Linked DNA regions of Arabidopsis thaliana. The protein of the gene in region 3 interacts with the protein of the main gene of each other region in a pairwise test. Each region holds a gene or a part of one and is shown on either strand. Other genes may lie near its edges.

The links.
Region 1: the proteins of SPX4 (region 3) and AT3G22440 interact in a two-hybrid assay, tested with the Arabidopsis thaliana proteins (one large-scale study listed by BioGRID).
Region 2: the proteins of SPX4 (region 3) and AT1G68670 interact in a two-hybrid assay, tested with the Arabidopsis thaliana proteins (one large-scale study listed by BioGRID).
Region 4: the proteins of SPX4 (region 3) and UNE12 interact in a two-hybrid assay, tested with the Arabidopsis thaliana proteins (one large-scale study listed by BioGRID).

What each region holds. Positions count from the first base shown.
Region 1 is NC_003074.8:7,955,589-7,964,292, reverse strand, and holds AT3G22440 (FRIGIDA-like protein), read right to left. Parts: upstream 4,541-8,704; 5' UTR 4,440-4,540; coding exon 3,527-4,439; intron 3,193-3,526; coding exon 3,017-3,192; intron 2,917-3,016; coding exon 2,407-2,916; 3' UTR 1,922-2,406; downstream 1-1,921. Other genes in the region: OASA2 (O-acetylserine (thiol) lyase (OAS-TL)), read right to left, coding at 45-89; AT3G22450 (Ribosomal L18p/L5e family protein), read right to left, coding at 915-1,850; AT3G22436 (uncharacterized protein), read left to right, coding at 6,273-6,395; AT3G22430 (RNA recognition motif XS domain protein), read right to left, coding at 6,688-7,043, 7,849-8,156.
Region 2 is NC_003070.9:25,778,630-25,786,833, forward strand, and holds AT1G68670 (myb-like transcription factor family protein), read left to right. Parts: upstream 1-3,171; 5' UTR 3,172-3,714; coding exon 3,715-3,847; intron 3,848-3,935; coding exon 3,936-4,204; intron 4,205-4,283; coding exon 4,284-4,599; intron 4,600-4,794; coding exon 4,795-4,871; intron 4,872-4,974; coding exon 4,975-5,244; 3' UTR 5,245-5,489; downstream 5,490-8,204. Other genes in the region: AT1G68660 (Ribosomal protein L12/ ATP-dependent Clp protease adaptor protein ClpS family protein), read right to left, coding at 391-454; AT1G68680 (SH3/FCH domain protein), read left to right, coding at 6,998-7,194, 7,963-7,993. UniProt on the Arabidopsis thaliana protein: Probable transcription factor involved in phosphate homeostasis.
Region 3 is NC_003076.8:4,976,611-4,984,509, reverse strand, and holds SPX4 (SPX domain-containing protein 4), read right to left. Parts: upstream 4,137-7,899; 5' UTR 4,123-4,136; coding exon 3,580-4,122; intron 3,165-3,579; coding exon 3,008-3,164; intron 2,931-3,007; coding exon 2,467-2,930; 3' UTR 2,279-2,466; downstream 1-2,278. Other genes in the region: AT5G15340 (Pentatricopeptide repeat (PPR) superfamily protein), read left to right, coding at 366-2,237; AT5G15320 (ATP synthase E chain), read right to left, coding at 5,852-5,899, 6,645-6,710, 6,816-6,863.
Region 4 is NC_003075.7:1,134,818-1,142,306, reverse strand, and holds UNE12 (basic helix-loop-helix (bHLH) DNA-binding superfamily protein), read left to right. Parts: upstream 1-1,766; 5' UTR 1,767-2,000; coding exon 2,001-2,363; intron 2,364-2,767; coding exon 2,768-2,890; intron 2,891-3,054; coding exon 3,055-3,120; intron 3,121-3,206; coding exon 3,207-3,272; intron 3,273-3,946; coding exon 3,947-4,027; intron 4,028-4,105; coding exon 4,106-4,339; 3' UTR 4,340-4,820; downstream 4,821-7,489. Other genes in the region: AT4G02580 (NADH-ubiquinone oxidoreductase 24 kDa subunit), read right to left, coding at 5,401-5,508, 5,698-5,763, 5,880-5,957, 6,070-6,116, 6,208-6,313, 6,403-6,480, 6,615-6,731, 7,362-7,427. UniProt on the Arabidopsis thaliana protein: Required for ovule fertilization.

The DNA.
Region 1 (8,704 bases), on a different chromosome or scaffold from region 3:
TGAAGAATCTGACTAATAGCTTCCATTTAAAAAAAAAAACAGACCTCTCCCGGTTTAATAAGTCCTTTAGCTTCTGCATCAGCAATCATACTATAACCAATCCTGCAACAAAAAAGAACAAAGTACAAGTATTTGTTTCTTTTGTCACTAACAGAGAAACTAGAAAACAGAGCTTTTAAACTTTTCGGAAGCACCTGTCTTTGACGCTAGAACATGGTTCCATCATCTCAAGCTTAGCAGCAACATGACCAACACAATCTTTAGCTACTTTGTTTAGATACACTAATGGAGTGTTCCCTATTAGCTGCTCCCAAATAATAAAAAATATCAATTAAAAAAAAAACATTTACTGACAAGACATAGTTGAAGAAAGACATAATCTTGGAGGTTACTTACTTCAGTTACATCTTTAGCGATTTTAGGAGCCACTGAAGCCATGTTTCAAGCTCACTGCTTAGATTTCACAAAAGAAAAAAGATGAATGCAATTGTTAAATATCATGTATAATTAATCAAAATATTCGATTAATATAGGATCATCTCATCATCTGATTATAGGTTTACAACAACAACAAAAAAAAAAAACTTATTTAAAACTTTTCATTTCACGCCAACTTTGTCCTGATCATGATGCATCAAAAACTTTCCAGATGAATAAACAAACCATGATATATATATCATCATACCTGAAAATATATCGATCTAGCAAATAAAAATCGGTGGGAATTGTGAACAAAGGTCGATCGGCTATGGAAGAGCAGAGAAGTTACGTATAAGAAAACGATGATATCATTGTTAGAAAGTCAACACTTTGACCCGACAAGAAACGTAGAAATGAAACGGATAACATTTTTTGGGCCCCACACAGAAACATATCTTCTGGGCCCATATTACAAACTAGAAAATTTCAGTCCTCTAGGCCATCATTAGATGACTAGTCTTCTTCTTAAGTTTCCTCTGCTTAAGCTTCACTTTAACATTAACACCATTGTCAATAAGAGCTTGAAGCACGACCTGAAGCTTACCTTCAATTTTATCTCCTTTCCTAGGAGTGTATATAACATCATGTATGTCATCTTCCAAACTTCTTTGAGCAAGAACTGCCCCAACCGCAGCGCAAGCTGCAACGTTTCTTCTCGAACCAAGATCGAATTTCATGTCTTTTGAAATCGAATGAGCCACAGTTACAACCTTACTAGTCACCCTGTGAATCACACATGCTCGTACAGACTCTTTCGAGATGTATATGTCTAAGCAAAACGGGTAGTGAAATGGCGCCGTGAGTTGGTTAAACGTAAATGTTCTTTCTCTCTTCTTCACAGCTTCATTAGGATGATCCGTCTCACCTGTGAAAGAGTCATTTCTCTTCTTGTATTCGTCACGAACTTCCTTCTTGTTATCCTTCTTTATCTTTGTTTCTTCTTCTTGGTTTTGCTCCTTTTTAGCGTTCTTGTGTTGATTCTTGCGGTGGAAGTCATAGTTGTATTCCTCGAATTCTTTTGAACCTCGATCGAGCTTGAAGAAAAGATCACCGCGAATTCTCATGTTATCGATTTCATCGTGATCGGGATCTTCATCATCGAGTATTGTTTCTCTTACTCCTTGTATTGTAACGGGAGAGTTTTTTGCAGTGTCTGCTTGGAACTGTCTCCAAGCTTGGGATAAAGATGATGAAACATGCCAAACATCATCATCCACAGTTTCTATACCACAACCACTCAAACCAGTCACTGTAACTTTACCACTTTCACTGTTGGAAAATCTCGAGGAGAAGCAACGCGGTGCAGGTCGAAAAACGGAGATAAAATCTGGCAAACGGAGACACTTTCTTCTCAAAACCATCAAAGCCATTGAAGGAAAAGAGACCAATTCTGAAAACGCACGTGAAAACTAAACGGTAAGATTTCAAAGAGACATATCGTCGAACATCTGGTGTGCAAGGTTGGTAAAGAGAAATTTCTCACCACTGGCTTTGTGTCTTGTACCGAAATTGAATCACCACTTTGCTCAATGAAGAAGAAATGCAATTCAACAGAGAACTGGTGGGTATGTCTTCAAAGCAACGACCTCCGATGTTAGATTTGATCGGAGATAGTTGGTGACGAAGAGAAGTTTGTCATTCGATTAACAGAGTACAGAAATATAAGTTTGTTGACTGAATATTAGACATTACAAAAGCTTGAGTTTTGTTTTATATGCGATTAATAATAAACACACCAGAGGATATAAGCTAAGTTACTAAGAGAGTTAGGCTGAGAAAGAGATATTACAGACAAAAACGACGACGTAGGAAGACAATAGACCCAGAGAGAGAGAACACCAGAGTAGTAGCAGTTGTCACAGTATCAGTGATTTGTTGGTTATTACCAATCTTCTTCCTTGTTTTGTTGTCACACTGTCTTCTAATTCAGTAGTAATGTTGCTGATGGTGGAATTGGTGGTGTTGATGATGGTGTGGGTGGTAAACTGGAGGAGCTGGAGCAGGAACTGGACCATTACAATAACCGTTGTACGCTGGGTAACCGATAGGAGAGCCTTGGTATGAGCCTGGGATGATCTCCGGAGAGTATGGATAAGGTGGGCTTCTGTTGCTGTAGACTGTTGTAGGTGGGGATGGGTAAGCTGCTGGTGAAGCGTATTGAGGAGAGTGAGAGGGTGATCTGATGAACGGGAAGGAAGAGACGTATGCGTTTGTGATACGCCCGGCTTTGGCTGGTGGCATTGGACCGTTGTAGCTGGCTCGGGTTCTTTTGTTGGCAGGAACAGCTGCTGGCTTTCTCTTCTCGGTTTTGGTCTTCTCTAGCTGATCCAACCGTTTCTTGAGGTTCTCTGGAGGGAACTCTTCCTCGAGTTTGTACTCTTCTATGCATTTTAAAACCGCCTTAAGTGCTGATTGCTCCTTGCGCGCCACGAGATGCTTAGGAAGAAAACATAACAAGGAAGATATTAACTTTCAGGGACGCACAGATAAAAATATTTAGCTGCGATAGAAATGAGTAGATGCAATGAGTAGATACCGTAGCTCGGCCAGTATTGCTAGAGTCCTCCATGATAGAAGCTGCTGACTTCTTTGCGTCCCTTAGATAAGCTTTGAGCAAAGGAACAGGAGGGAACTTATCCACAAGCCCAACTTCATAAGTAAAATGAACAGCATCAAGCTGTTGTCCCCTGCTGATTAATTCTTCAATCATGTCTGTGGACAGCGCAACAACTTGTAAGTTCAGATATTATAAAACGAGATACAGAGAAAAAGGCTTCAACTTCACACAGTCTGTGGTCAATAACACCTTGTACCACTAATGTCTCAGACTTCACCACAATCTATGCCATACAATGTTTGCCACACAAACTTAATATTCGACTAATCAACTCGTAAACTATTTGTAACCTACCAAAACTATACATCTAGATGGGTTAAACTATTAGTAAACTAGCCAATTTCAAAACCATATATGATCTCACAAGTTACAATGAGCATGCCAGGATAAAAAACTAATAGGTAGAAGATAAGAGCTTAAGAGGATTACCAGGCATTTGATCACCCAAACCAACAGAAACCGCAAGCTTAGGCATCTGTTTACGCCACGCAGATCCAACAACAAGCTTTCTATACAAAGCAAGATCTTCACTTTTAACAATTCCAAATGTAACAAGATGCTGCAAAAACGTATGAACATCAGGAGTCTTCACATTCTCTATCCTTCCTCTCTCTTCCAAACTCTTCTTCCACGTCTCAGCAATCTCCTTAGCTTTCTCCTTAACACTCGGAGTAACAAGCAACCTCGATTTCCCAATCACTGGATCAACAATTACAGGTGTTAAACTCTCAAGAATCACAACACAAGCCCATCCATAATCATTGCTAACTTTATCTCCTCTTGTATCCACCGGAAAAACCTCAGATATCGCTTCAAGCACTAACATCGCCGGATCTACACAATCAACCAACGCCGCCGGAATCTTTGACCGGAGATTCTCCAACTCCTTCTTCCTCGCCGTCACAAAGTTCCAAAAACCTCTCGCATCCATTTTAAGACAAAGAGATTTCAAAGCAGAAAGAAGACCTTCTTCATCGTCAACATCACCGGAATCATCATTAGAACCATCACCACAACCATCTCTAGCTTTCTCTAACGATTCAAGAGCAGCTCTAGCTCGTTCACCTACTTTCCCAGCTACGATCTCAACGCTATGGTCGATTGTTACCTCTCTACGCTTCAGAGACTCGAGCGAGGTCTGAGTCTGGTTATCTAGAGTTTCAATCATCTGCTTCAACGCTTCAGATTTCTTCATCAGATTCTGCTCTAGAGAAGTGAAGTGATCGGAGAGCTCTTGCCATAGAAGAGTACAGCTAGTCATCAACGACGTCTGTTTCTGAAACTCCTCGAAACTCGGCTGAGCTAACTCAGTTAACTCGCCTGGATCGGGGACTGACCCCATCGCCGGAATCGGAAAAGAAACTCAAACTCCGTTGATTTGATTGATACAGCAGAGAAGAATAAACTCAAGAGAGAGAGTGAAATTGAAGAAACCCTAGAAATGGGAAAAAAGTAAAGAGACGAAGAAGAAGATAAGAGACAAAAGAAACAGTGACGTGGACAACTCGAAATAGCGACACGTCTCAGTGGAGTCTGATTAAAGGCGCGATTATTACATATTCTTCTATATTGCGCCGTCGACGCGTAGCTTAGCGTGATATGCGTAGTATAAGAGAGTTGGGTGATGACGTGGTAATAATAATAAGTACTATTACTATAGCTTTGCTTTAATTTTTCGTATAAAGAAAAAAAAAGGTGAAAGAGATAAGTGGGCCAAGCCCACTGACCACCACATGCGTTGAGTCGGAAACCAGTGAAGCATTGCCGGTAAAATACCAATTGAATAACAAAAAACTATATAGTATAGCAAAAAAAAAAAAATGTTGTTATAATTAATATGAAATTCTTTGTGTAGTGTAATGTAGTAATGTAAGAAGAAGAACAATGCATGTGTTTTGTAGAAAAGGCTGTAATGAAATCAGGGCACGCGTGACAAATGTTAAAACGTGATAATGAAGCAACCACAAAGAAGATTCATTAGTACACATATAAAACTAATCTTCGTACTATGTTTTTAATATCTTTGTGATATCAAAACAGAAGAATAGAATAAAAACGAAATTTTGAATTTGGTTTTATTAAAGCTATTGCTTTTTTGACATCAGTGGAATGGATATATCATAAAAACTTTTTTCTGTTGATATGTACAAAATGTTAAAACGGGACAGTGACATATAACACATTATTGAGGGGAAATATCCATTACTCTTTTAGACCTCTTGCTATTAGAGTATGATTTTATAGTTACAAAAAGGTTAGAGAAACATTACAAAATTAGAATGAGACGAAATATGAAACTGACGGCTAAGAATAATTTATCTAATTAAATGGGTCCGTAATGGCCGACTACATATGAACCGCCGATTACTGTTTCCGCTTTATAGAAAAAGTGAGTAGAGAAATTTGAAAAATGTGAGGGAGATAATCGAATTCAAAAGAGATAATGATTTAAATTTATGCATTGATTTGACCTCAGTCTAGCTAGTCTTATAGTAATATGATTATGACATTTTACATAATCTAGTCTTTTTTCTAATATGTTTAATTCTCTTATAGTGCATGTAACTCTATCAAAAGATACAAAGTACTTTGTCCTGCATATTGTACATTCATAAAATTATATCCTAGTTGTTATGATATTGGCCAAACTATAATCCTATATGTTATATTAACTTTCACTACCGGATAGTGCTTGATTACTTTCATAAGTGTTAAGGTTTATCTTAAATTCTTAATCACACGGCCTAAACCGAAGCTGATCAAACTTCCTTTAACAAAACGTGTAAATTGGTAAGCCAGAGCGAACCAAAGATTTGAATGAAGACATGTAATAAAGTTTATCAGAACACAAGAAAGTAGAGGGGAAAAAATCGTCAAAACACTTTATACCTAACTTGTCAATTAAAGAGTTATAAACAAAGACAAAACAAAATTTATATAGTGGTTACCAAAAGCCCCCACAAAATACAAGTCCTCTTATCTAATGTTTATTTTTGTTTTCATACCAATTTATAATTTTTTTTTTATTTTTTTTTATTCAAAGAAGATAGCTAGCTTAAACTAAACACCACCATTGTTGTCACCAATCTAAGGTGACCAAATACATAAAGCTACTACCAGAGTGCAAACAAAAACAATAACTCAATGTCATAGACATCATCAATACAATGGCACTATGGCAACATTGTTTGGTTGGTTCAATATTCTCATTTCCATAGGCTGGCTAAAGCCTAAAGAACAAGCAGGAACCACTATTCGAAAGGATGAGATAGAACAAGGAAAGAAGAAACGAACGTAGGAGAATCAACAGGGACATCAAAAGCATCAAGCAACTATCACAATATACTTCTAAGGATGTTGGTAAAGAGAACTTGTATATATCAGGTTCAACCGATATTAGACTATGCAATATGAACACTGAATCGAAGGATCAAAGAGACCAAGACTTCATCTATAAATTAAAAAAAAAAAAAAAAAAACTTTCGTTCCTCCTTTCGAGTTTTTTAGGTTGCGACTAAGAATCCAGATTCAATAGGCAACAAATACCTCGAAAGTTAAGTGTACCTTTCGTGGGAGAAGAAAACTGTAATTTACTTTGTTCTTGTGAGTTCTCTAAGGCTCTCGATTGTGGTTTTCTTCTTTGTCTCCACATCGACTTTGTCCAAGTCCGTTACAGTCGCGAGATAACCATAAAAGATCCTCTTTTTCTCTCCCGTCCTCCCATCAACCTCGACAAGACCAGGGTTTTTCTCATCATCTTTGCTTGGAGTGAGTGGCTGTACCCTCCCCCAACTCTTACGCCCACGGTTTATCTTCTCAAAATATTCTGCCATTCTCATAGCATCCCTGAGCCCTGAATCGTCTCCAGCAAACTTGAACAGGGTAATTCCCAAATGACCCTCTCTTCCATACAACGACTTCGATTTCCCACCAGTGAGTCCTAGTTCTGTAATTATATATAGAAATCAAAATGAAGGCAGACAAAATGTGTCATTGAGTGTTGTTACACGATATAGGCTAATAACTAGATACATGTACTTGCACACCCATCATTAGCCTAACCACAAGTTCTAAAAATAGAAGCTGAGATTCCTAGAGAAAAGACCAGAGAAGATGGTGGCCCAACAAAGTTATGTTAAAGAAGCTTATATACTTCTTAGACCACCACTGTTGCCTAGATTCTGATATTGTAAGGTATTGAAATCAGAGCTCAAACCAGAGTTATAAATTATTCTATGCTAAGTCATAGCAATTTTAAATTTACAAAATCACAGAGAAACATGGGAGAGAAACGGGCAGGGGTCTAAGTATAGTGAAGGTTTTTCCTGAGAAGCTATGTCAGATGATAATTGAATCATGTTAGTTTCCAGAGTCTTACTTTAAAACACCTGTTGGGCCATCCTTCTAGTGATAGCAAAACAAAGAGAGGGATTTGGACCGTGACCTTTCTTCTAAAAGATAAGGAGATGATTATTGTGGCACAAAGTCAGGGATAACAAAGACATGCGACATCATTATGGCCATTGTATACGGGAATCATCTCTAAGGCTCTGGGTCTAAATCCAATTGATTAAGATAACCTGCTTTAGTACTTTCCAAGCACATCTCTAATATGGAGGGAAGAAAAAAGGAAAAGAGAGAAGAGAATCCTAATGTGCGGATTAACCAATGCAAGATTCATGAACTGTTCCAGATGGTTCTGCCCAGGTATGTAAACGCAAGAATAAGGAGTGAAAGGCCGCATGTTATACCTCTAATTCTGTTATCCATTGTTTTGTTTCCAAAGCCTTCCATGCGCCCTTCTTTTCCCTTCCCTGTACTGGTATTCTGAACAATAACATGAGGTGGCCAAATAATTAGCTGGGCTTGGTTGATTGCTGCCTCATCAGCAGGTAGATTCTGGTATGCCTTTGAATTATCAGGAGCCTTTGAGAAATTCCATCCCATCAATACACAGAGAGCTTTGTGTAGGCCTAAATGATGCACGCGTGAGCTAGAATCATCAGAACAGTATGTGTGCATTACCAAACTATGTGTATCCTGGACATCTTTAGAAGACCTGTGTTTTAGCACAAGTCGAATTGGAAACACTCATTCAGATTTACCACACAAATACCGTATAAAATACTCTAAGGTATTTAAACTCAAGCAAATCAGAATCATGAAGTAAAGACTCTTCAATGTGGACACCAAGACTAATGAATATACACACTAAAATGATTGAATATGAAAGACACATCCACATATCAGCTTGGCAACCAACAAGAATCAAATGTAGATGGAATAACCAAATTCTAAAATTAAGCTAAGACTAGGGGTAATAAGTGATGCACGGATAACATATAAACATAAAGAAAAACACACATAAACCTCTGCGCAATTATGAGGAGTACCATCATAACATAGCAGAAGAGTTGAATAATGTTAAAGAATGAAGATGATAGCAAAGGAATTAGAGAACTTCATCGTAAGCTTTCTACATCCAAAACAAGCCTATTCCGTGACATAAAAGAGCATTCAAAAAAAGATTAGTTGCTACTAAAGCCTACTAACTTAGCCCTTAACACTGATTGAAATGGTCATCAAATTGACCATTTACTCATCATG
Region 2 (8,204 bases), on a different chromosome or scaffold from region 3:
TAGAAAGAGCTAAACATCACCATGCCTTTCATAAAACTTATCTTTATCAAACTTCACTAAAATTATCTGTATGTAAGAAATAGGTATCAAACATCAAAAACCCTATAGTTCTGTTCTGTTTTTGTTTATTCAATTCACTTTGCTTCAGACAGAAGAGTTTCAGTTTCAGACAAGGTAAAAAGCTAAAAAGCCTATTTCTTTCTGCACCTAATCATCTCACAAATCAATATCAACAAAGAAAATATGTATGTAAATCAACTGTCATGAGCTGATTATATACAGAAAGCTCCGGAATTTGATTACTAATTCAAGTTTCGAACTTTTTGATTCAAAGACACCGAACAGAACAAAGAGATGTTTGATACGGAATCAGAGAGAGAATAAGAAAACCTGATTTAGAATTGAAGAGAGAGGATGGTGCGAGAGCTAATCTCCCACAAATCGCAGTCTCCATTGTCGAGTGGATGCTTCTCAGTTCCCAAAAACACAGAGATAATCAGGACCGAACAATTTTAATCATAAGAATAAGGTTGAAAAATTCAGAAATTGGTGGTTTACGGAATTTTACGTTGCCTCCGATTCAAAACGCTACGTTTTAGCCTTAAAGGCTTAAACCTTTTTGTCTGATTGTCCCGGTTTACCGAACCAAAATTCGAACCTATAAATAAATAATCTATTTCTGGTTTAGTTGCTCTGGCCTCTGGGACCGATACGTTGAAGGTGGACCTACCGTTTTAGGGTTGTTTAACACTTGAACCGTCCGTAAGTCTTGTTAAGCTATAATTTGTTAGTCTTGGTTAGAACCGGTTCAATGTGTGTATGTATGATCTACGGTTTATACTTTTTTTTTTATTTTTAGTTGGTTTTGTCATTTCTATATATAAAAATGTAAATGTTCTTTACTTCTTTCTATTGTAATTTGTAAATGTTCGTTGTCTCGGTATCCTGCACAATCTAGCTTCAGTGACGATGTTTTAGAGAGGCTAAGGTTAGGTTGGTAACTGGAATAGAAACCGGAGCCTATTTTCTTAAACCATTTTCAACGGAAGTTTCTTAAATCCAGCCACTTTGTGAAATAAATCTTGGAGTTGAGATTTATTTACATTTGCTGCCACTGATATTTAATAATTGTTTTTGATAATTAGAAAGAAAATCTTCTAATTAAATATTTGACATTTAATAATCTTCCCAAAATCTTTCTACCTTAACTACACAATTAATTACTAAAATAAAACTTCCAAAATATTTAATATCATTTAATTACTACAAAATTATCATTTTTGATATTTTTGCTTTTCGGCATGACTATAACAATTCAATTATAATCATCAAACCGCAGAGATATTTGATAGCATTTAATTACCACAAAATTACAAAATATTTAGACAATAATTCATAAACATATCATAAATAAGATCAACATTAATAAAATAAATAGTTTTTTTACGGGACGGGTTGACGGGACGGGTTTGGCAGGATGTTATTTAATAACAATTGTAAACTATAAAATAAAAATATTTTATAGATAGATACAATTTGCAAACTTTTATGTATACTAACTTTAAAAAATAAATTATTTCTGCGGTGTACCGCGGGTTAAAATCTAGTGAGTTTTTAAAATAGAATCAAGTGTAAATATAGATAAATAATATATTTTAATGATGAGGTTCTTACATTTGAAGAAACTTAGTTCAATTGACTCTTAGTTAAGAAACAATTGGACTAAGTTTCTTCAAATTTAAGAAACCAAACTAATATTTAAACAATATAATATTTTTATTATATATCAAGAATTTTGTTTAGAAACTCCCATTGAAAAAACTCTTAACTTCCATGTTCTTGGTAGTTTCCCTTGGACTCAGAGTCATATGTTTTATTTTTGTGCATTGCCAATTGACAATTATTGCATTAACTGATTAACCGTCTCTTTTTAGCTCTAATTGACACTCTTAACTTTGTTGTTTAATTGTGGCTATGCAATAGCTATTATGAAGAGAACTCCAATACATGTGTTGGAGTCTTGGAGATCTTACTTGCATCTTCAAACATTCATAATACTACAACTTAGACATTGTTTGTTTTCTTTTCCCATGGAAACAAATTTTATCATGTGCTAATAATAAAGGTAAGAATTGATGGAGCCAATCTCGTTTAAATCTATATGTCCCACACCTCCCACATAAAGACCAAACATGTATTAGCTCCATCAGATTGAGACAACAAAGTTCTATGTGTAGATTTAGATGTTTTTTCTTAAAACAGATTTGATTAAGAACATGTGGAATGAATCTGATATTTGCCTATTATGATGATGATTAAAGCAATAAGCATGTTGTAACTTTCCATCTACAAGAAAACAGTTGATCATTTCAATCGACCTTCAAATAGTTTCATCAATCATACATAAGTAGACCCATAAAATAAAATTTTGATGATCCTAATGGTGATTATTGTGAATGAAATTAGTCCAAAATCTTGCTGTATCTAAAAAACACAAAAATACTATTATCATATTCATATGCATTAACTCATCCTATCAAGGAATCGAACCACCAAAGAACCGTTTGTTTTTCTTAAAAAGATAACGACGAAACCAATAAGATAAATGAATATGACAAAAGCAGAGAATCTGGTTGCATCAATTGAATATTTGGTCACGTGGGTACGCGCTCTATGCGCGTGAACATTTAGCAAATTGGCTCTTGAGGAATATGAAAGGTCGGATATGTAAATAATTAATACGCGGCGTGGGCAAATGTGATTCTCACACTTCCTTCCAAAAGATTCTTCTTTCTATTTTTTTTTTTTTTTTTCCTCCCCTAGAATATTCCTTCACCAAATTAGCTCATTTCCAATTCAAATTTTAATATTCGTTCTAAATATCTGTAAAAACGTAGTCGAGTGGTAGGTTACATAAATTGTGAATGATTAACGTTTGGAGTTGGAATTAAGATATCACTAATGATATGATTTATTGTCATTGAAAGTTTTAAACATAATTTTTCCTTATGAGATAGTAGTAGTATTTTAATTTATTTAATGAAACGCATATTTGTTAGGTGAACGTCAATTTTTATGATTTTTGGAAAAGACGCATAATAAAAACCAAATCTTTAAATTTGAAATTCTAAATCATAAAATCTCCATTTAATGAATAGATTTGCCCATATAGAAACACAGAAAATCATTTCTATTAGATGATAGTTAAGTTAAATGAAGGATAAAACAATCGTTGGAAAACAAAACTCTGGAATCTTAATTAGGGGAGAAGAAAAATGGTTGAGTTTTCGTTCTTATCTGAAAAAAAAAAGCTAAAGAGATTGGAATAGTGACGTCAGTTCCAGCCCATACAAAGAGATGCGAACCTATAATCGAATCTGATCCTCCGAATATTCACCCATCATCTTCACGATATTACTATTTTACCCTTCTCTTCCAAAAGAGAAAAAAACATTTTAACTCTCAAAGATTCGTTTTAGGTACGCGACGGCCCGACCTCGATTCTCTTCCACTTCTTTCTTGTTCCAAAAACCTAAACCCTCTCTCTCTCTCTCTCTCTCTCTATCTCTTGAAAAATCAACAAAACATTGGAATCAATTTCTCTATGTTTTGATTCTATTTTAAAGATCCAATATTCTTTCTCCATTGAGATTAAGCTTCTTTCTCGCTGTCGTCTCTCTATAGATCTTGGTTCTTAGTCCCTTTTGAATAATAATGATGGTGGAGATGGATTACGCTAAGAAAATGCAGAAATGTCATGAATACGTTGAAGCACTTGAAGAAGAACAGAAGAAAATCCAAGTCTTTCAACGCGAGCTTCCTTTATGTTTAGAGCTTGTCACTCAAGGTAATAATAATCCAATCAAAATCTCCAATTTTTAAACAAGTCTCTTACAAATCTTGATGGGGTTTTGTTATGTTTTGTTTCTGTATAGCGATCGAAGCTTGTCGGAAGGAGTTATCTGGTACGACGACAACTACATCAGAACAGTGTTCAGAACAGACCACAAGTGTTTGTGGTGGTCCTGTCTTTGAAGAGTTTATTCCTATCAAGAAAATTAGTTCCTTGTGTGAAGAAGTACAAGAAGAAGAAGAAGAAGATGGTGAACATGAATCTTCTCCAGAACTTGTGAATAATAAGAAATCAGATTGGCTTAGATCTGTTCAGCTATGGAATCATTCACCGGATCTAAATCCAAAAGAGGTATTTAAAGTTTTGAGCTTTTTAAAGGAGTTTTAGTTTTCGATTATGAGGAAATAATCATGTGTTAATTGAATTATAGGAGCGTGTAGCTAAGAAAGCGAAAGTGGTGGAGGTGAAACCAAAAAGCGGTGCGTTTCAGCCGTTTCAAAAGCGCGTTTTGGAGACTGATTTGCAACCGGCGGTGAAAGTAGCTAGTTCGATGCCAGCGACGACGACGAGTTCTACGACGGAAACTTGTGGTGGTAAAAGTGATTTGATTAAAGCTGGAGATGAGGAAAGACGGATAGAGCAGCAGCAATCGCAGTCGCATACGCATAGAAAACAAAGGCGGTGCTGGTCGCCGGAATTACACCGTCGATTCCTAAACGCGCTTCAGCAGCTTGGAGGATCTCATGGTAATTACGATTAATTTTAATTACCTGATTATCTTCTATCTGATTGGTTCATTAGTGATTCATAATCGGGTTGATAAAGAACTGTTTTTAAACATTAAAACGTCTCAACATTTACATTATATTAGTAAGTAACAAAGATTATTATCAACATTAAAAAATGATTTTTATTTGACATTTTATTTGCCAATCTTGCAGTTGCTACACCAAAGCAAATCAGGGATCACATGAAGGTTGATGGATTAACAAACGACGAAGTTAAAAGCCATTTACAGGTTAGTGATTAATGATTCTTATGTTATAATCACAAGTTCGTGAAATTGGTAATTAAATGAAATGTTACTCAAGTTCTTAACCATTTTTTGTGTAATATTTCAGAAATATAGACTTCACACAAGAAGGCCAGCAGCAACATCCGTGGCGGCACAAAGTACCGGGAATCAGCAACAACCACAATTTGTGGTGGTTGGAGGCATATGGGTACCATCGTCACAAGATTTTCCACCACCGTCCGATGTAGCCAACAAGGGTGGTGTATATGCTCCGGTTGCGGTGGCGCAATCTCCAAAACGTTCGTTGGAGAGAAGTTGCAACTCGCCGGCGGCATCTTCCTCTACAAATACAAATACTTCTACTCCTGTGTCATAATCTGATAGTCATACTATAATCATCTCCTGATGTTGATTTTGGTGTAGGTTTGAAAATGTTTATGTGAATGTAAGAAATATTTTCGTCCGTTTTTGTTTGTAACCAAGAAATGTTATTTCCTCGGTTGGAAATTTTGAATAAAGTAGACGAATGCTACTATGTAGTATATACACGAGATAAGTGAAGACTCTTTGTTTTTCTAACTTTGGATATTTACTAAAATATCTTCTTGTTTTTGGTGTCTAATTTAGACAGATCTTCGTGATGAATCTGATGGCAAAGGTTATAATTCATCACCTTCGTAAATAGTAAAATACAAAGGTAGATAAGAGAATCTAAGATGAATTGAGAATAACGTGCGTGAATGGTGATGTAGATATTTGGTGTGACAATTAGAAGTGATTTATTTATGGTAACGCTTGCTTAAAACAAAGGTCCATGAATCGACCAACTAACCATTCACAGAATTGAATACCAAATCTATCTTTTTGCATGGCAATTTATTAAAATAAATCTAACGTGGCCGCCTCTGAATCTTGCTTAATAGAATAGTAACCACTAACCATAATCAAATCATTAATTTAGATTTTTTATTTTTTGTCGGCCAATTTAGATTATAGTATCTTTTTTTTTTTCCTTCACATATCTTACGGTAATTGACTCGAACCGGAATTTCTTTAGAAAATTCAAAACCAGTTTAATAATCGGGTTCATGGAGAATAAAAAGGTCATGTTCTGATTTTTATAATAAGTCCTTGTTGACTAAGTCCTTGTTGAATAAGTCTTCCTAGATTATAGGAAAGTGGACGATTAAATTTGTATTATGTTTTGATTTTATATGTTATAGAATTTCAGGTCGATAAAAATTGTGACATTTGCATTGTGTCTAGGGTCTTTCGGGTTTTTTTTTTTTTTTTTTTTAACTTGATTTGTAGGGAGGATAATCTTGGGTCTATACAAGCAAGACGAATTCTTACGTAATTTTGTTTCTTTGTTTTGAATAAAACTGGATAAATCGTGACTAGGGGCTGGAGATCAATAAATCGTGACTTCCCTCCAACTGATACGGATTCTACAACTATTTGAATTTTATAAGGAATTTCAATAACTTGTTCACTTTTTAAATATACAATAGTTTTGTACAACTAGTAAAAAATATTCATATTTCCATTATAATCATTTATCATTCCATTCTGCTTTTTTTTTTGGGTTCTCAATTCTGCCATTCCACCATGTTTCTTATCGGAATCTAAATAATTAATGCATTAAGTAGTTGAAGATGATAAATTTATTTGTTTCCAACCATTTTGATGGTTAACTTAAAAAACATAAAATTTTAGGTTTGGTGGAAAAAAGAAAGGGACACTTGGCCTTACGACAAAGCGAAGGGTCACATGTTAATACAACAATTTCAGGATATTCGAATCTCTAATATTGGAATCCCTAATACATGGCTCACTCTCTTTGATTCAAACATAAACTGCACTCGTTTATTTAATCTTTGTTTGACAGCTAAAAAGATTTTTATTTTCGGGTTGATAAACCTATAACTCCTCCAACGGACAAAATTTACTAGATAGATCTATAACTTTTCGTGGGCTATATATAACTTCTCGTGGGCTTCGAGGCCCAAAAATGTTTAAAAGTGTTGAAAACCAAGACAAAAAAAAATGGAGTGAAAAAGATGAAATCCCTAAATTGAATCGCAAATCGCAATTTGAAAAAAAAAAGATCTCTCTCTGAAGAATCCGTCATGGCGTCGTCAAGCGATCCTTCAAAACCAGTAATGGAGAGGAAGAAGAAAGGAGCTCCGATCAAATTCTTAGTACCTCTCATCTACGCACCTGCGCTTCCTTTGATTCGGTTGTCTTTAAGGCATAAGCCAGTTCTAAGAGATCGTCTCTTCGGTCTTGTCCTCGTCGGTGCTTTTGCTCATGGCTTCTATCTTGTGTATCCTCTTTATGATTGCTTTGGTGCTTTCTTATGTGATTTAGTGAAACTTGCATTTATGTATTGTATATGGAATATGCATGTTTGGGTTTTAGGGGAATTATTTTGATTTGCAGTGAAGATTTGTGTTTTGATATTGTAGATTGTTAGTATGTACAGAGAGCTAGGAAGTATTTGCTGTTGAAATTGCGCATAGAGTTAAAGGTATGTGTAAGGAAGTGAATCCTGACTAGTTTCGTCAGTCATGTTGAGGATTTGTTAGGCATAGTTAAGCATATGGACTTAAGGCAGTTAATCTTGACTTGTATCATCTAATCACTGGAAGTCATATATGGTTATGTGGTTTGACAATTTACATTTCTAGAATTGAGACTATAAACCATCTATGTATACCAAACTGAGGAGTTGAAGAAAGTTTGCTTGTAGTTGTTGATTCAGGTAGTTTAGATTTCTATAAAAGTCATGTGCGGTGTAGAGATTTACTCATGATGGTTTTGCAGTAAATTGTAATAGTTTGGTAGCTTAGAGAACCTCAAGATTACTGTTGGTAGTGAGAGCAAATATTCAACATTTCAGCGATTGTTGTTAAGAATAGTTTGAGCTGATGATGTTTCCTAATGTTGTTAAGCTTCGATTTGACATAAGTAGAGTCTACTACTATGTGGATTTGGAGAGTAGGAACATTCATTTGCTACTCTGTGGAATATTTTGATAATCTCTATGGAATGTGTTATTTTGTTTTGATTGTTCCTTATAGATAAATCACAGAACGGATATATATGATGCAGAGAGCAAATGAAAAACTGGGAGTTGCAGTCAGTCAACAAGATCTCAATATTTTCTCAGATTGTCTTTCAGATAAATAATTTTTGCCTTTTGGGTTTAAACCTATTTGACACATGAACTATGGATTTTTCCTTATGAACCCATTTAGTCATCTTGTAATGTATCATCTTTTTTACATTTTTCAATCTCGTTCTTGATTTTTCCATGTCTTGAATGTGAAAACT
Region 3 (7,899 bases):
TTAACGACCTTTACCAAATGTGGATATAGTTAGTGACATCAGGTTTCATCACCAGAAACGTCCTCTAATCAAAAATATGTAGTTGTGAGTAATCTAGTTTCTATTTGAATCATTGCATCCTTGCAGATCAAAACCAAAACTTTTATTATGTCACTTATGTTGTACTGGACAAAAGATAAAAACATTATCCCACGCGCTCTAAATTTCTCATCAAGGCGCGTGAAGTGTATTTAAGAGCCCAGATTTTCTGTTTGTTTCCCGGGAAAATTGAACTCACGAGAAGTTAGAACCGTCGAAGGCAGAGATCTAACGCCATAGCTCTAAGATTCTATCAGTTATAGGACTAAAGGGACGAGCTTAATCTTATGAAATGCTTATCCTACCAAAAAGTTCGTCTCCTTCTCCGACATTGCGCTCACCGTTCGTTTCTCCGTCCCGGCAAGGAATTGCACGCCGTTTTAACCACTTCTGGATTGAAGAAAGCTCCCAGGTCGTATCTTAGCAATGCGCTATTTCAGTTTTATGCTTCCTCTGGTGAAATGGTTACTGCCCAGAAACTGTTCGACGAAATTCCTCTTTCAGAAAAAGACAATGTGGATTGGACCACTTTGTTATCCTCTTTTTCTCGGTATGGATTGTTGGTTAATTCGATGAAGCTCTTCGTGGAAATGAGAAGGAAAAGAGTAGAGATTGATGATGTTTCTGTAGTTTGTTTGTTTGGCGTGTGTGCCAAGCTGGAGGATTTGGGTTTCGCTCAACAAGGACATGGGGTTGCTGTAAAGATGGGGGTTTTGACTAGTGTAAAGGTTTGTAATGCCTTGATGGATATGTATGGGAAATGTGGGCTTGTGAGTGAAGTCAAACGTATTTTCGAGGAGTTAGAGGAGAAGAGCGTTGTTTCATGGACGGTGGTTTTGGACACGGTTGTGAAATGGGAGGGGTTAGAGAGAGGAAGAGAGGTTTTTCACGAAATGCCTGAGAGAAATGCTGTTGCTTGGACGGTTATGGTTGCTGGGTATTTGGGAGCTGGGTTTACAAGGGAAGTATTGGAGCTTCTGGCAGAAATGGTGTTTAGATGTGGGCATGGTTTGAACTTTGTCACTCTTTGCTCGATGCTATCGGCTTGTGCTCAATCGGGAAATCTGGTAGTTGGAAGATGGGTTCATGTGTATGCATTGAAGAAGGAAATGATGATGGGGGAGGAAGCAAGTTATGATGATGTGATGGTGGGAACGGCATTGGTTGATATGTATGCTAAATGCGGAAACATAGATTCTTCCATGAACGTCTTCAGATTGATGCGTAAGAGGAATGTGGTGACATGGAATGCTTTGTTCAGCGGGTTAGCAATGCACGGGAAAGGTAGAATGGTGATTGACATGTTCCCACAGATGATAAGAGAGGTGAAGCCAGATGACTTAACCTTCACTGCTGTCTTAAGTGCTTGCAGCCACTCGGGGATAGTAGATGAAGGGTGGCGATGTTTCCACAGCCTCCGGTTCTATGGTTTGGAACCTAAGGTTGACCATTATGCATGTATGGTAGATCTTTTGGGCCGAGCTGGTCTTATTGAAGAAGCAGAGATCTTGATGAGGGAAATGCCAGTGCCTCCGAATGAAGTTGTCCTCGGTTCGCTTCTAGGCTCGTGCAGTGTCCATGGAAAGGTGGAGATAGCCGAACGAATTAAAAGAGAGCTTATTCAGATGAGTCCAGGCAACACAGAGTATCAAATACTTATGTCCAACATGTATGTTGCAGAAGGAAGGAGTGACATTGCTGATGGGTTAAGGGGAAGTCTGAGAAAGCGAGGCATCAGAAAAATACCTGGTTTGAGTTCCATTTATGTTAATGACTCAGTACATCGGTTTAGTTCAGGAGATAGATCACATCCGAGAACGAAAGAGATCTACTTGAAGTTGAATGAAGTGATTGAACGGATAAGATCAGCTGGCTACGTCCCTGATGTCTCTGGCCTGGTTTCACATTCGGAGGGTGACTTGGAGGAAAAAGAGCAAGCTTTGTGCTGTCACAGCGAGAAATTGGCTGTCTGTTTCGGGCTTCTGGAAACAAAACCGAGTACACCTCTTCTTGTCTTCAAGAATCTGAGGATATGTCGAGATTGTCATTCGGCTATGAAGATTGTTTCAAAGGTCTATGACCGAGAAATCATCATCAGAGACAGAAATAGATTTCATCAGTTCAAGGGAGGTTCTTGTTCTTGTTCCGATTATTGGTGAACAGATATGAGAATGACAAATTTGCAAAATGAGACAAGGTTGAGACAATGGAGGAAAATTTCATTGAAAATCTATAAACGACTGTACTACAATTCAAATGCATACAGAAGTTGTGTCCTGCAAAAGGTGAAGAAGTAAAGTAAAATGTGTTAATTTTATGAAAAGTTAGGGTGAAATCAAGAAGCAAATTCTCAAAATCTTGATCAAAAAGAGCATCATTCTCTTCTGATCAGTGGGAAGGTCCAGTATCTTCCTTCTCTGAATCATCTTTGTTCCCAGAGTTTGGAGAGTTTTCAGCTGTTACCGTCTCATCATCCTCGTTCTGAAGAAGCGATGAGAATGATAAAGGGTTGTACGTCGAGCTAGCCTTTTGTAACCCTCTTATAGCTCTCATTGCAGCGAGTGTACTCTTATATATATCAAGATTTTCATTGCCGAGAGTTGAGGAAGTCTCAGCTGAGATTCTTGGGGAGTTGTGCTGATGTGAGCTTGAGTGTGCTTGCACTGCGCTAGAAGACTCTACAACTTCCGCTTCTGAAGGAAAAAGAAGCTCAAGATTGGCCTCACATTCACGGACTAACCTAGTAAGTGGCTCTGTAGTAAAGAAGGGTTGATGGAGAACAAGCTGTGTGAAAGGCAAACGTAAAAGTCCACCTGTTCTTTTATCGTACTTCTTCAAAATCTTGACAAGTCCTAGAATGGAAGATGTTTTTAGCATACAGTAGTAATGTGTTACAAAAATTGGTTTTCTAGTTAAAATATATGATTACCTGCAAAATTAAGGGAGCTGTAGTTTTTCAGGAGCACCATCTCGCCATGAATGGTAACAAGGTCTCTCCGAATATCCATCATTTCTTCGCTGAACTCACTTTCTGATGCAAATTCCCCATTCTTTTCTTTAACTTGCTCGATTCTTTCCTTGAGCTCCTGTTTGCAAAATGATGAACACACACTAATCAATTAGAGCTTCATATGTCTATAAACAAGCAGAGCAAGAAGATGACCAAGGCTCATAAACCATACTAATATCTAAGCAATGTGATCTCGATTGTGATATACCACAGAGCAAATAAACCACTGTATCATTACATCAATACAGACAAACTCACTTGAAGCACAGAGAAACTAGATCCAATTTGATTAGAGATCATCACTAGAACTACCTCCGGTTTCAACTACTAGCAATTTTGTTCTAGGATTCGAGATTAATCATCCAATCGAAGATAACCTATGGAATGATTCAATTCTAGAAACTTGTTTAGCTTCTGAATCAGTAATCACATGAACCAAGTTCTAACTTGACCTAAAATCCTGAAGCTAGAATAAATTCGGAAGCAAAAACCTGTAATCTGATAACGAAATCTTCTTCCTTATCAACGTAAAAATCGTTAAACTTCTCAAGTTCATCGTTAAGTATCCTCACAAACGAACCCTGGAGATCTTCCGATGGCCTGACGCCGGGAACCACACCGCCGTCGTCGGCGGCGGAAGAGATGTTAGTAGTATCAGCAAATACTGGACGCGAATCGTTGTGATCGGAATTGGCGGGTCCAAAATCGGCGGAGTAATAAGGATAATATTTGAGAAGCTTTTTTAAAGGTTTATAGCAAAGGAACTTGTCTCTCCACTCTGGTAAAGTTTCTTCGAGGTGAGTACGAAACTCTTTGCCGAATTTCATGTAGAAAAGGCTCTGTGTTGGATCTAAATGGAGAAGACGGAGATTGCGACGGTGCAGAGCTCGTGGATAAGAACGAACGCGAGAGAGAGAGAGAAAAGCGCGAGAGCAAGGAATCTTACAGAGAGAGAGAGATAGAATCTGATGAAGTGGACGTGGATGCTTCTGATTAAATATTGACCATTGATCTTCTTCGTTTTTTTTCTTCATTAACTTGTTAATTTGGATATTTATCGATCAAGAAATTCGGAACAAATATGCATTGGTGGTTAAGTACTAATTGAAATAATGTGGTAAAATTGTTACTTGAAGTAATTATGTAAATGTAGTGAATAATTTGCGGATGTAATTATGTGGAATAATGTTTTGTTTCAATAATAAAATATTAAGATGCTCCAATAGAAAAAGGTTAGATTAAAAGTTAGCTGGACGACATAAATTGGCACAAGCGAATCAATTATCATTAAAATTCATCTAAACAAAGTGATTCTGTTCGTTTTTCTTCGGCATTTGATTATGTTAATTTTAAAAAAATCAGCAAGTTGTGATTATATGCATATACAATATGTCCATGAAGTTCCATGAAATAACATCACAGAATTATAATAGCTTTATCTAAAGTGGCTCTTAACCAGATCGTCAACCTGAGATGAGCCTCTGACGAGCTTGAACGGGCATGCACCTATAATAAAATAGAAAGAACCAAAAAAACTATTGAATAATATTCGTTATATTCCAATAGATTAGATTCGTCTTCCCATATAATGAGATTCCCTTATATTTTACGTATAACTATAAGCGGATCCAGAATTAAATCCACTTATATTCATAGACTATATCACTTTAAACAGTACTTATCACTAAAAACTATACAATTAAATGTTGATGTTATAGTCACGACTCTAAATTCTTATTGGCTAAAGTGTGTGACCAGGGTTTGTTTTTATATATTTAAACATATTTATTCATGCCTCCAACATTTAGGCATCTGTAGTTTCGTTTTTAATAGTAGGAAGAAGAAAAAAGAAGGGAATGAAAAGGTGAGGAACGACTTTAACTACTGCTTTAGCTCAAACGGGACGTTGACAACTTCTTCATATGGTACTATCAAGAGCCTGAATAATGTCAGCCTTTAAGTGCTCAAAGTCTTCAACACAAAAAGTCCAAAACTGAAGCCGAAATCGACGCGCTCATTGTGCGAATGGTAAGAAACTTGAATTTCGCAGTTCGACGACAACCACGCGTGTTACGTTTGGGCTGACTTTTATATTGCCCATTGGGCTACAATAAGCTCAGTTTTTTTCATATTATCCATAGACCCACATAATTCAAAAACGTAGGTCGACAAATGAATATGTCGCCACTGAAGTAATGGTAATTTACACATTGGTAGTTGTTTGAACTTTTAAGCCGTGGTGGAAAGTGTAAGAGAGATCCCGAAATCAAATTCAAACTACATGATTGCTTGGATTGAATCAGACAACAAACCAGAAACGACAATAGCAATTTTTCTTTGATTAACTCAGATACACAAGAAGTTGGAACATGCTTTTTAGGACCAATTTTTTTCTCCCTTTCTTAGATTGTGTCCAATGGGACCAAGTAGAGTAATATAAGGACTCTTGCAAAACGAAGTATATAACGCAAAACCGGGACACTGAGGTCCTTAGTGTTATAGATAATCTGGTTAAGAGGTGAGGTGTATGTGAATGTGAACGGTGTTATTGGATGACAACAAATGGAAAGATGTTCTTGACTCGGGTTTTAAGCCAATGGCAATTATGGCTCCAAAAAGGTCTTAAAACCGTATAATATGCTTTTCAAAAACACATTTGTTCCTTCTTATGCTAAAGGATGAATCATGAAAGAAGAAATCAAACTAACCGGGGAGACATCACCCCCAGCTTTTGGCATCTTATTGTAAAGAAAGAAGAGTGGTTTAATGATGAGCGGTGGCTTCAACCTTCTTCTGTGACATCGATTTGATCTGCAGGTGAAAAAGCAATTTGTTGGTACTTATCTTAGCATATACTACTAATATTCAAGAACATTTCAGGTATAGAGACATCTAAGTTATAAAACATTTCCGGTTTGCAAAGAGATAATCAGTGGAGGAACCAGGATGAGCAAACAACAAGATTGAACAATGTAAACCTTTTTAGAGTTTGCAACATGATGAATGAACCAGAGATTTTGCTCAAGGCATCACATCACTGGCTCAGCTACTCAAAGAGAACAGAGGAGACTAACAACCAAAAACATTTAAAAGCTAGTAACTTCAGAAGCAAAAACCAGAGAAAGACACCACAAAGTGGTGTTTCAACAAAGTCGTTTAAAAATTGCTGACGACTTGTAGAAAAGTAGCATATGATAATCTAAAAGGGATTATAAGATCAAAACTCAGGCATAATCAGTGGACTAGCAGAAACAACAAACTAACAGAAGGAGTAAAGCAGCATTCTGCAATTCACATCTATAGCTCGAGAGCACTGTAAATTCAAACAAAAATTTGCTATCTCACTCTTAACTACGATCAAAATCATAAATTTTCTGATGATAAAATTTGTGTAGCCACCAATTTCGAGATAACATGTCACCAACAATTCAAATGTTACAATCACCAGATGATGAAAACAATTCATTAATCAATATTATTGCAGATTCATAGCAGATACGAGCAATATAATCAACAATTTCGATAAAAACAAGACAAAATTGAGATAGAATATGACCTTAAGGACCTTGAGCTTCATGTTCCCATAGACGAGACCCAACCCAAAAGCCGAAGCACGAGCCACCTGATCATTGAAGCAATAGACTCGTTGAATCACACAAACTCTTTACAAAAGAAAAAAAACGAATCTGTGCTACAGATCGAGAATCCGATTAGAGAGATGAATTACCAGAGCAAGAGAGCTGGTGCCGGAGTAAAGACCTGGAGGTAGCGTCATTGTCAAATCACTGTTGGTCTCTCGGAGTCGTCTTCGGAGAAAGAAAACCCTAAAAATCCCAAATCAAGCGAAGCTTCCGTAATCTCAAAAAAAAATCGCGATTCGTGATGGTGGAATTGTTCGCTCCTTTTTCGTAATATTTATTTTCCTTAACCCGAGTAAACTGATTATTGGGCTTTAAATGGGCCTCTTATATTCTCGTATTACATAAAGGACTAACATAGATCTAAACCTAATTACTTTTTAGCCTAATCTCTAAAAACTCTTTTAAGAAAATCCAAATTTTATCCTATATTTTATTGCTATAATAATTTAATTTTCTCAATGATTAATATCGTTTCTGAAATTTTGGGATATTATTTGGGTCCACTTGCAACGGGTCATATCCAAATAAATATAGTATCCTATTTATCACTACGATTCATATTTATTATTTCATTATGAAATATTGGCTTGGTCTTTTTTTTCGGCTTTTGTGTTTCTTATATTATTTTCACAATTAATATGAAAAAAATGAAAAATCGGATTCGAGAGAGAGAGGCAAAGCCCAAGGCAGAAAAGGACATGAAACAACCAACATTTAATTTTCTCATATAGTAATCGACATGTCAACGTGTTGTTTTTATCACATCCACATTATCATCATGTAACTCTCAATCTTTCACATTTCTTACGTAGTTAACAAAATAAAATAAAATAAAATTGACCACAGTATATGTATACTTTCTAGTGTAGTGGTTACTGGTTAATTAGTAGAGTGATTTTGGTTTAATTTGTAGAAGTGGTAACGTACAAAAACTGTGTTCAAGATAGATTTTTTTAATCCGGGGGACGGTTGATATGTAGTAATCGTGTTCGTCAGAGAACATTCAATATCTTGGATCTTAATGAATCAAAAAGATACGATTCGGTCACTCAAGAATGACCAAAAATGTCTTCAAGTTGCCGAAGACCAATGCTTTGCAGCAACCTATTCATGGCGAAAGACGTCCATGAAATGATGTGCTCATGCATGTTTTTATGTTATTTTAACTTA
Region 4 (7,489 bases), on a different chromosome or scaffold from region 3:
GACTTTTGTAAATTTTTGAAATCCCTTTAAAATCTATTGTAAATTACCCTTTTAAAATCCCTTGTAAATCTTATAAAACCCCTATAAAATCCCTTGTAAATCTTTTAAAACTCTTTTAAAATCCCTTGTAAATCTATTTCCCGCCAAAAAAAAAAAATTGGCGGGAAAAATATGTTTGAAAACAAATTTTGGCGGGAAATTTATTTTGGAATATTTTTGGCGAAAAAATATTAATTTTTCATTTTGTTAACCTAAAACAATTTCCAAATAAGGGTAAAATGGTCATTAAAAATTTAAAGAGGGTAGAAATAAAATTGGATAAAACAAAAGGGTAAAGTTGAAAAAGGGCATCATGAAAAGGGCATTAGAAAAAAAAATTCTTAAAGGGATAATAATTAATATATTAAACTATTAAGTTGATTAACTGATTTTTTTTGTGTTAATATATTATCAAAACAAAACTTGTTTTTTTTTTTTTTTTTTTTTCATCCAAAACAAAACTTGTTTTATTTATTGATTTTTGTAAATAACTGTTTTTCTTAGCTTTTATTACTTCTTATGTTGGATGTTCGTGTTTGGTCTGAGAATTACCTCCTTAAGCACAAGTTGTTCCTTTATAAATGAGCTCCATTTAGGCATAATGATGTGAACCCTTTAGTTTTTGTTGGTGTAGACTCAAATTAGAGAGAGGAGTCGCTGAGATTGATAAGCTAGCAAACAGAATCTTCCATATCGACAAGCTTGGGAATCAACCTGAATTGTGATAGAAGAGAGAAAACATTTTCTAGGAAACTAAATTGTCTCTTTTGAATTTGAAATACTTTATTTGGAGCTTGTTTGCTTAGCGCATATCTCGAATTTGATTATATCTCGCAAGATAATTATGTGACGTTTTTGAATTATGTAAACATCTCAATAAGTGATATAGGAAAATTTAACTTACAAACAGAAAAATAAGCGATTTTTTCAATACATTCTAATAGTTGAATACATTAATTAGAATTAGGAGGGATACAATAATAGATAACTACAATTCATTCGTCATGTTCTAAAAATAGAGAGCAATAAGTACGACGGACAGTACCGTCACTACTTGGCGTCATGGTAGATAGGTAGTGGATCTGCTAGATATATGAGAACGGAAAGAACCAGAAGCTATTAGAGGCGGGAGGAGATATGTGGGGATGATTTCAGTGCAATTCCACGACGCACCATTTCCACTTTCGTAACACCTAAACGACCGCTTCGGCCGTATAAAATCGCAAATGTTTGGTCTCAGTGTATTTTTCCAATTTCCAAATACATCAATTCAAATTATATAATATCTAGTGGCAATTATAAGTATATCATATATTTTCAAAATTAATTAAAAAGATTACTAAATTATGTTTGACTACAACTATTATAATAGTTAAAAACATAAACAAAAACAAAGAAACTATTTTAATAAAAAAATCAAGTAAACATTAAAACATAAGCAAAAAATAATGTTAAAGAAATTATTAATTATTAATTTACTAATAATTAATACCTCTATAAATTAATTGTTAGAGGTTTAACGTAATTTATAAGGAAAACTAAAGAAGACTTTAACCCATAAAGAAAAAAACAAAGACTGAATTGAAGGCCCATATTTAGAAGAAGAGAAAGAAGACCCAAATATGATATAAAATCCAGCCCATTTATATATTTTTATTTTGTTTCTGGAAGGAAAATAAGAAAATGGCAAAAACGAAATAATCTGAAAAAGTAAGGTCTTTTACCAAAAAGGATATTTTTTTTATAAACAGAGCATAAAGTTTTCACTTTTCTTCTGCTCCTTTCTCGTCTCTGTCTTCTTCGTCCTCATTCGTTTTAAAGCATCAAAATTTCATCAACCCAAAATAGATTAAAAAAATCTGTAGCTTTCGCATGTAAATCTCTCTTTGAAGGTTCCTAACTCGTTAATCGTAACTCACAGTGACTCGTTCGAGTCAAAGTCTCTGTCTTTAGCTCAAACCATGGCTAGTAACAACCCTCACGACAACCTTTCTGACCAAACTCCTTCTGATGATTTCTTCGAGCAAATCCTCGGCCTTCCTAACTTCTCAGCCTCTTCTGCCGCCGGTTTATCTGGAGTTGACGGAGGATTAGGTGGTGGAGCACCGCCTATGATGCTGCAGTTGGGTTCCGGAGAAGAAGGAAGTCACATGGGTGGCTTAGGAGGAAGTGGACCAACTGGGTTTCACAATCAGATGTTTCCTTTGGGGTTAAGTCTTGATCAAGGGAAAGGACCTGGGTTTCTTAGACCTGAAGGAGGACATGGAAGTGGGAAAAGATTCTCAGATGATGTTGTTGATAATCGATGTTCTTCTATGAAACCTGTAAGTTCTGTTCTTGCTTTGGTGTTTGATTATTAGAAATGGGAAGAAATCGAATTTGAGGGTTTTGAAGAGAACATTTTTGGTAACTTTTGTTTTAGTTTTTGATTTGTGGTAAGTAACTTTAACAAAGTTGATGATTTGCGTTATGTGCTTTATTTTGGCTCAGACTTGTTGAATCTAATCGATTTTGGTTTGTTTAGTAAACTAAGGTTAGCTCTTGTTACTCTATGAGCAACTTCTCACTAGTTCATGTAGCTGCGTGGCTTATCTTGCCTTCTAAGTTGGTCAAATGAGTAATCTTAAGGGTCTAACTTAAATTATTCTCTTACAACTAATGGAGTCAAATCCTTGTGCAAATGGTTTATTTTCGTTTGGTCTTATTTCTTCTGTGTGTTGTCTGGAAGGTTTTCCACGGGCAGCCTATGCAACAGCCACCTCCATCGGCCCCACATCAGCCTACTTCAATCCGTCCCAGGGTTCGAGCTAGGCGTGGTCAGGCTACTGATCCACATAGCATCGCTGAGCGGGTATATTTCAGATTCTCTTTTGTATTTCCCTGTGATATACTATGTTGGTGGCGAGTTGGTTGTAGTTGAAAATATGTTTCGGATATAAAAAAATGTTAACATTGTGTAATGATCTCTTGATTTTATGGAGGGATTACCTAAAAGTTTGTTTTACTTTACCACAGCTACGTAGAGAAAGAATAGCAGAACGGATCAGGGCGCTGCAGGAACTTGTACCTACTGTGAACAAGGTCTGTACCTTTCACCCTAACCCTCACCTGTATATAATTTCTCTAGAAAGTTTGACACTTTCTGTTTCTCCCGTCTTCGTGTGCAGACCGATAGAGCTGCTATGATCGATGAGATTGTCGATTATGTAAAGTTTCTCAGGCTCCAAGTCAAGGTATATTCTTCTCTCTTCTGCAGTTTTAAACTCGAACTCTCTTTCTTGTGAATTATCTTATTACTCCCTATGCAATATGTTTAATCTGTTTGTTCATAAGATTAGAGATCTAAAGATCATGTCTTTCAAATTCTCTGGATGGATTTTTGGTGTTAATTCTGGTCCCACCATTACCTACCCTTCAACCAAATTTCAATCTGATTAGATCAGTTATTTAATGTGGGAAAGAATAAACAAGTCCAAAATGCTTTTGTTTTCTTTGGCATTTAGTCTCTTTTCACTTTTTGTTTTGTCATAGGGAGCCTAATCACAGTTTATGATTATAATACCATATTCAACAATAATTACAATCATCATGTTCACATTATAATATAGTAATCTGGTAGATCATCAAATGCTTCTTATATCAAAATGCAGTCGGTTACTTAAAGCTCTCGCAAGCGAAAAAAGGAAGTCTCTTTACTTTATAAGATAATGGAGACACTAAAGAAACAGAATGCAATGATGGATTTCTGATAAGATAATACATCTTTTGTTTTAAAAATAGAAAATGTGTTTCTTGTGAAATCTTCCATGCTCATCTAAAAGTAAAAGCTTTTTTTATATATATAATTTTCATGGGGTGAAGCTTATCACTTTCAATGATATCTGTTTCTCTTTGTCAACTTTGGTAGGTTTTGAGCATGAGCCGACTTGGTGGAGCCGGTGCGGTTGCTCCACTTGTTACTGATATGCCTCTTTCATCATCAGTTGAGGTAAAAACTTTTTAAGAACAAAAAGTAAAAACTTTAGTAATGGGGTTTTGATTCAGATTTTGCTTAAAATGTCAATAGGATGAAACGGGTGAGGGTGGAAGGACTCCGCAACCAGCGTGGGAGAAATGGTCTAACGATGGGACTGAACGTCAAGTGGCTAAACTGATGGAAGAGAACGTTGGAGCCGCGATGCAGCTTCTTCAATCAAAGGCTCTTTGTATGATGCCAATCTCATTGGCAATGGCAATTTACCATTCTCAACCTCCGGATACATCTTCAGTGGTCAAGCCTGAGAACAATCCTCCACAGTAGGATTTCTGCAATAAAGAGTTTGTACAGCTAATCCAACTGTCCAACATGGGTTTTTCTTCTGCTCTAATGACTCTGGTTTCTTCTCTCCTCTCTCACCCACTTGAAAGGTAAAAAAGTGAAAAAGGCTTTGTAGATGGAATCAATGTAGGATTTGCAGTAGAGGGAAAAAAAATGTCAAAAAGCTCAATTGATCAAGTATTATTGTAATCATTGTACCTTTATTTTAGGTGGACTTTGATGAAAGCAACTTTTTGTTTTCAAGACTTTAGTGGGAGGTTGAGGAAGGAGCTTGAAGGGTGTTATTTATTAGTAGTAGTAGTAGTGGGAAGTTGTGGGACCTTGTTGAGTTGTGTTCAAATTGAAGAAAAAACAAGTATTTGTAATTTGTCACCCCTTGTATTATTATTTATTTTGTATGACTTTGGAGTAGTATAATTAATTATCAAATAATATTATTAGTTTGATCTAGTAACCATCCTTTGTTTGATAACACTAGAAACATAAAGCAAATATTTTAGGAGAAAGTACCATGAATTGTGCTTCTTTTTTTTAGTGGTACGTGTACAATTTTAACTTCCAAATCTCAAATGCTAAGATATATACACTTTGGACAGAACATGTATCAATTTAAACTTGCATGTTTACATTTTGCATTGATTAGTGAAGACAAAATACAACTTTTATTAATATTGTTAGTTTTGGAAAAATATAGCCAAAAAAAAAACTCATCGAAGAATTAAAGTTATTGATATGATTATTTCATGTGATTCATTAAATCATTCTGCCAAATTTATTTTTTGAGTAAAGTTTGGAAAATCTTGTGTCTTTTGAAGTAACAGATAAAAGTTTTGTTTTTATTACAATTTCACATGAATCTTAGAGTGAGATAATAATAAACGAAGATGATTTGGCAATTTGTTTAAAATGGGTCTAAATTCCAAAACCAAGAAGACTACAAAGAGTATGCAAACTCAATTTGATGCGGTACAGGCGTCAAACATACATCGCTATAGCCTTTGCGTTATTGAACCACATAAAACTGCGGCAAACAGAACTTAGCTTTAGCATGCATCAAGATCACGGAATTGTGGTGGCTTAGGCTCACCAAGCAGTGTCTTATTCCCTCCTTCTGGTCCACACTTGATCCTCTTCGGGTTCTGAGTTCCATGCTGAAAAACAAAGATTAACATTATAAGAAGTTGGATTTGGATTTTGGATTTGGATTTTGGCTTAGAGGCTACGTTCTCCAATTTGGAAAGTTAACCGAAACCAGATTGTTTTCCCCCACCGATGTAATGCAATAGTAAGAGAAGAACATCAGGAAAGTATCCAAATGCAATGGGTTGTTAATGTCTTACCGGTGGCTTTTCTCCTTTTCTCAGCTTTTCAACAATTTCTACGACTTTCTCAGGTGTAACATCTTCCTGTGTATTGTAGCATAAGACAGTGTAAGTATGATTTCACTCTTCCGACGTAACCCACATAAACAATAGGATAATGCAGGAGAAAAAGAAAAATTGTTCAACGAGATTTGACATACGAAATAGTTATATGTATATCCTTCTGATCCATTGGAATAGTCAGCCACAGTGATCATGGGTGCATTAACACAACATCCCTGTAACAAAACCAAACACATTAGATCTGCATTGAATCTTTTCATGTGAAAGTACTAATCTTGGTTATTGTTCTGCATGGATTAATGAATTGAGGTGACGCAAAATCCATACCATGCACTCCATCTCTCCAACAGAGAACAAACCATCCTTTGTGACCTCTGCACAAAAAACATTAAGACCAAAGATCGTTATGACTGATCATCACCTCCATATGATTTTGGTTATGAAAGGAAGCACATAGAGCTTTACCACCGCGTTTCACTCCCAAATGGTCTAGCAAAGCTGATTCGATGTCTCGTGAACCACGGATCATGCAAGGTGTTGTGCCACAAACTAGAAGGTGATACTTTCCAACCTGTAAGAGCAAAAGAAAAATGAGCCTGCAATGCGTCTTTCATTGAGTACAGTAGAGACTTGAGTTTAGGGGTAGAAAGTACTTCTTACCTTTGCTCTGTTGAACATTGAGTAAAATGTTGCAACCTCATAAACACGGATAGGGGCAACTTCTATAACTTTAGCAACCTGCAAAAGTTTGTTGCATTGTTATGACGGTAAAATCATATCAATGAATGTTGTATTCCAAAAAAGAACTTAAGAAGTACATAAAATTAAGTCTTAACAGAGAAAATCGAACAAAAAAATCTTAGAAGACATACCGCATTCATTGCTGAAACAGGGAGCCAGCCTCCATTCTGCTGTTGTGCAAGATCTAGGAGAGGAATAACTGCGGACTGCTTGTAATTGGATGGATAGTAAGAGAGAATCTCCTTAACCTACACATTTTGGACATAACAATTCAGTAAGTCTGGATGCATGCGGAAATCGATTTCACCGTTAATGCAAGATTACTGTAGCCAGAAATGAAAGATACAGTAAACTGGAACTAAATGCACAAGAAAGTATTAGGATTTAAACTACAATGAAACCGGTTTACTAATTTCTGGACAGTCTTTCTGCCACACTAGCAGATTCAAATCTGTTGGCCATTTGGGTCGTTCACTCTAAGTCTCTCCCTTAAATCAGTTCCAGAATAGCCGATTCTAAATATGTAACAACAAATAAGCAATCAAAAATATCAGAAAATCCCAGTCTTTGTCTTTTAATATCCTTTGGTAGAATGCTAACTAAGAGAACCATAATTCATAATCAGGAGACAGGGACTAGTTATAACTAGGGTCAAACAAAGGGCTAAAGATTAGGGAACGAGGGCTAAAGATTCCAACATTTTCACGAAAGAGTATAAATTAATTCCACCATTACGAACATGTCACACAATTCCCTAGATATTCTGTAAACATCACAAAAACGAATTCGAATCCGTACTGGATAAAAATCCCCAATGCGTTCACTAAAACTGTAAATTTTCGTCATTATCACATTAAGAAGCGATTTTATTCACTGACCTTAGATTGGTTAGCCTCTGAAAACTCCCATGGAAGATCGGGTTTGTTATCAGGAGAATCCAGATGCTATAAGTAATCAAAACAACAACAACAACAAAAATCAAATTACAATTAATTTCGGATAAAAT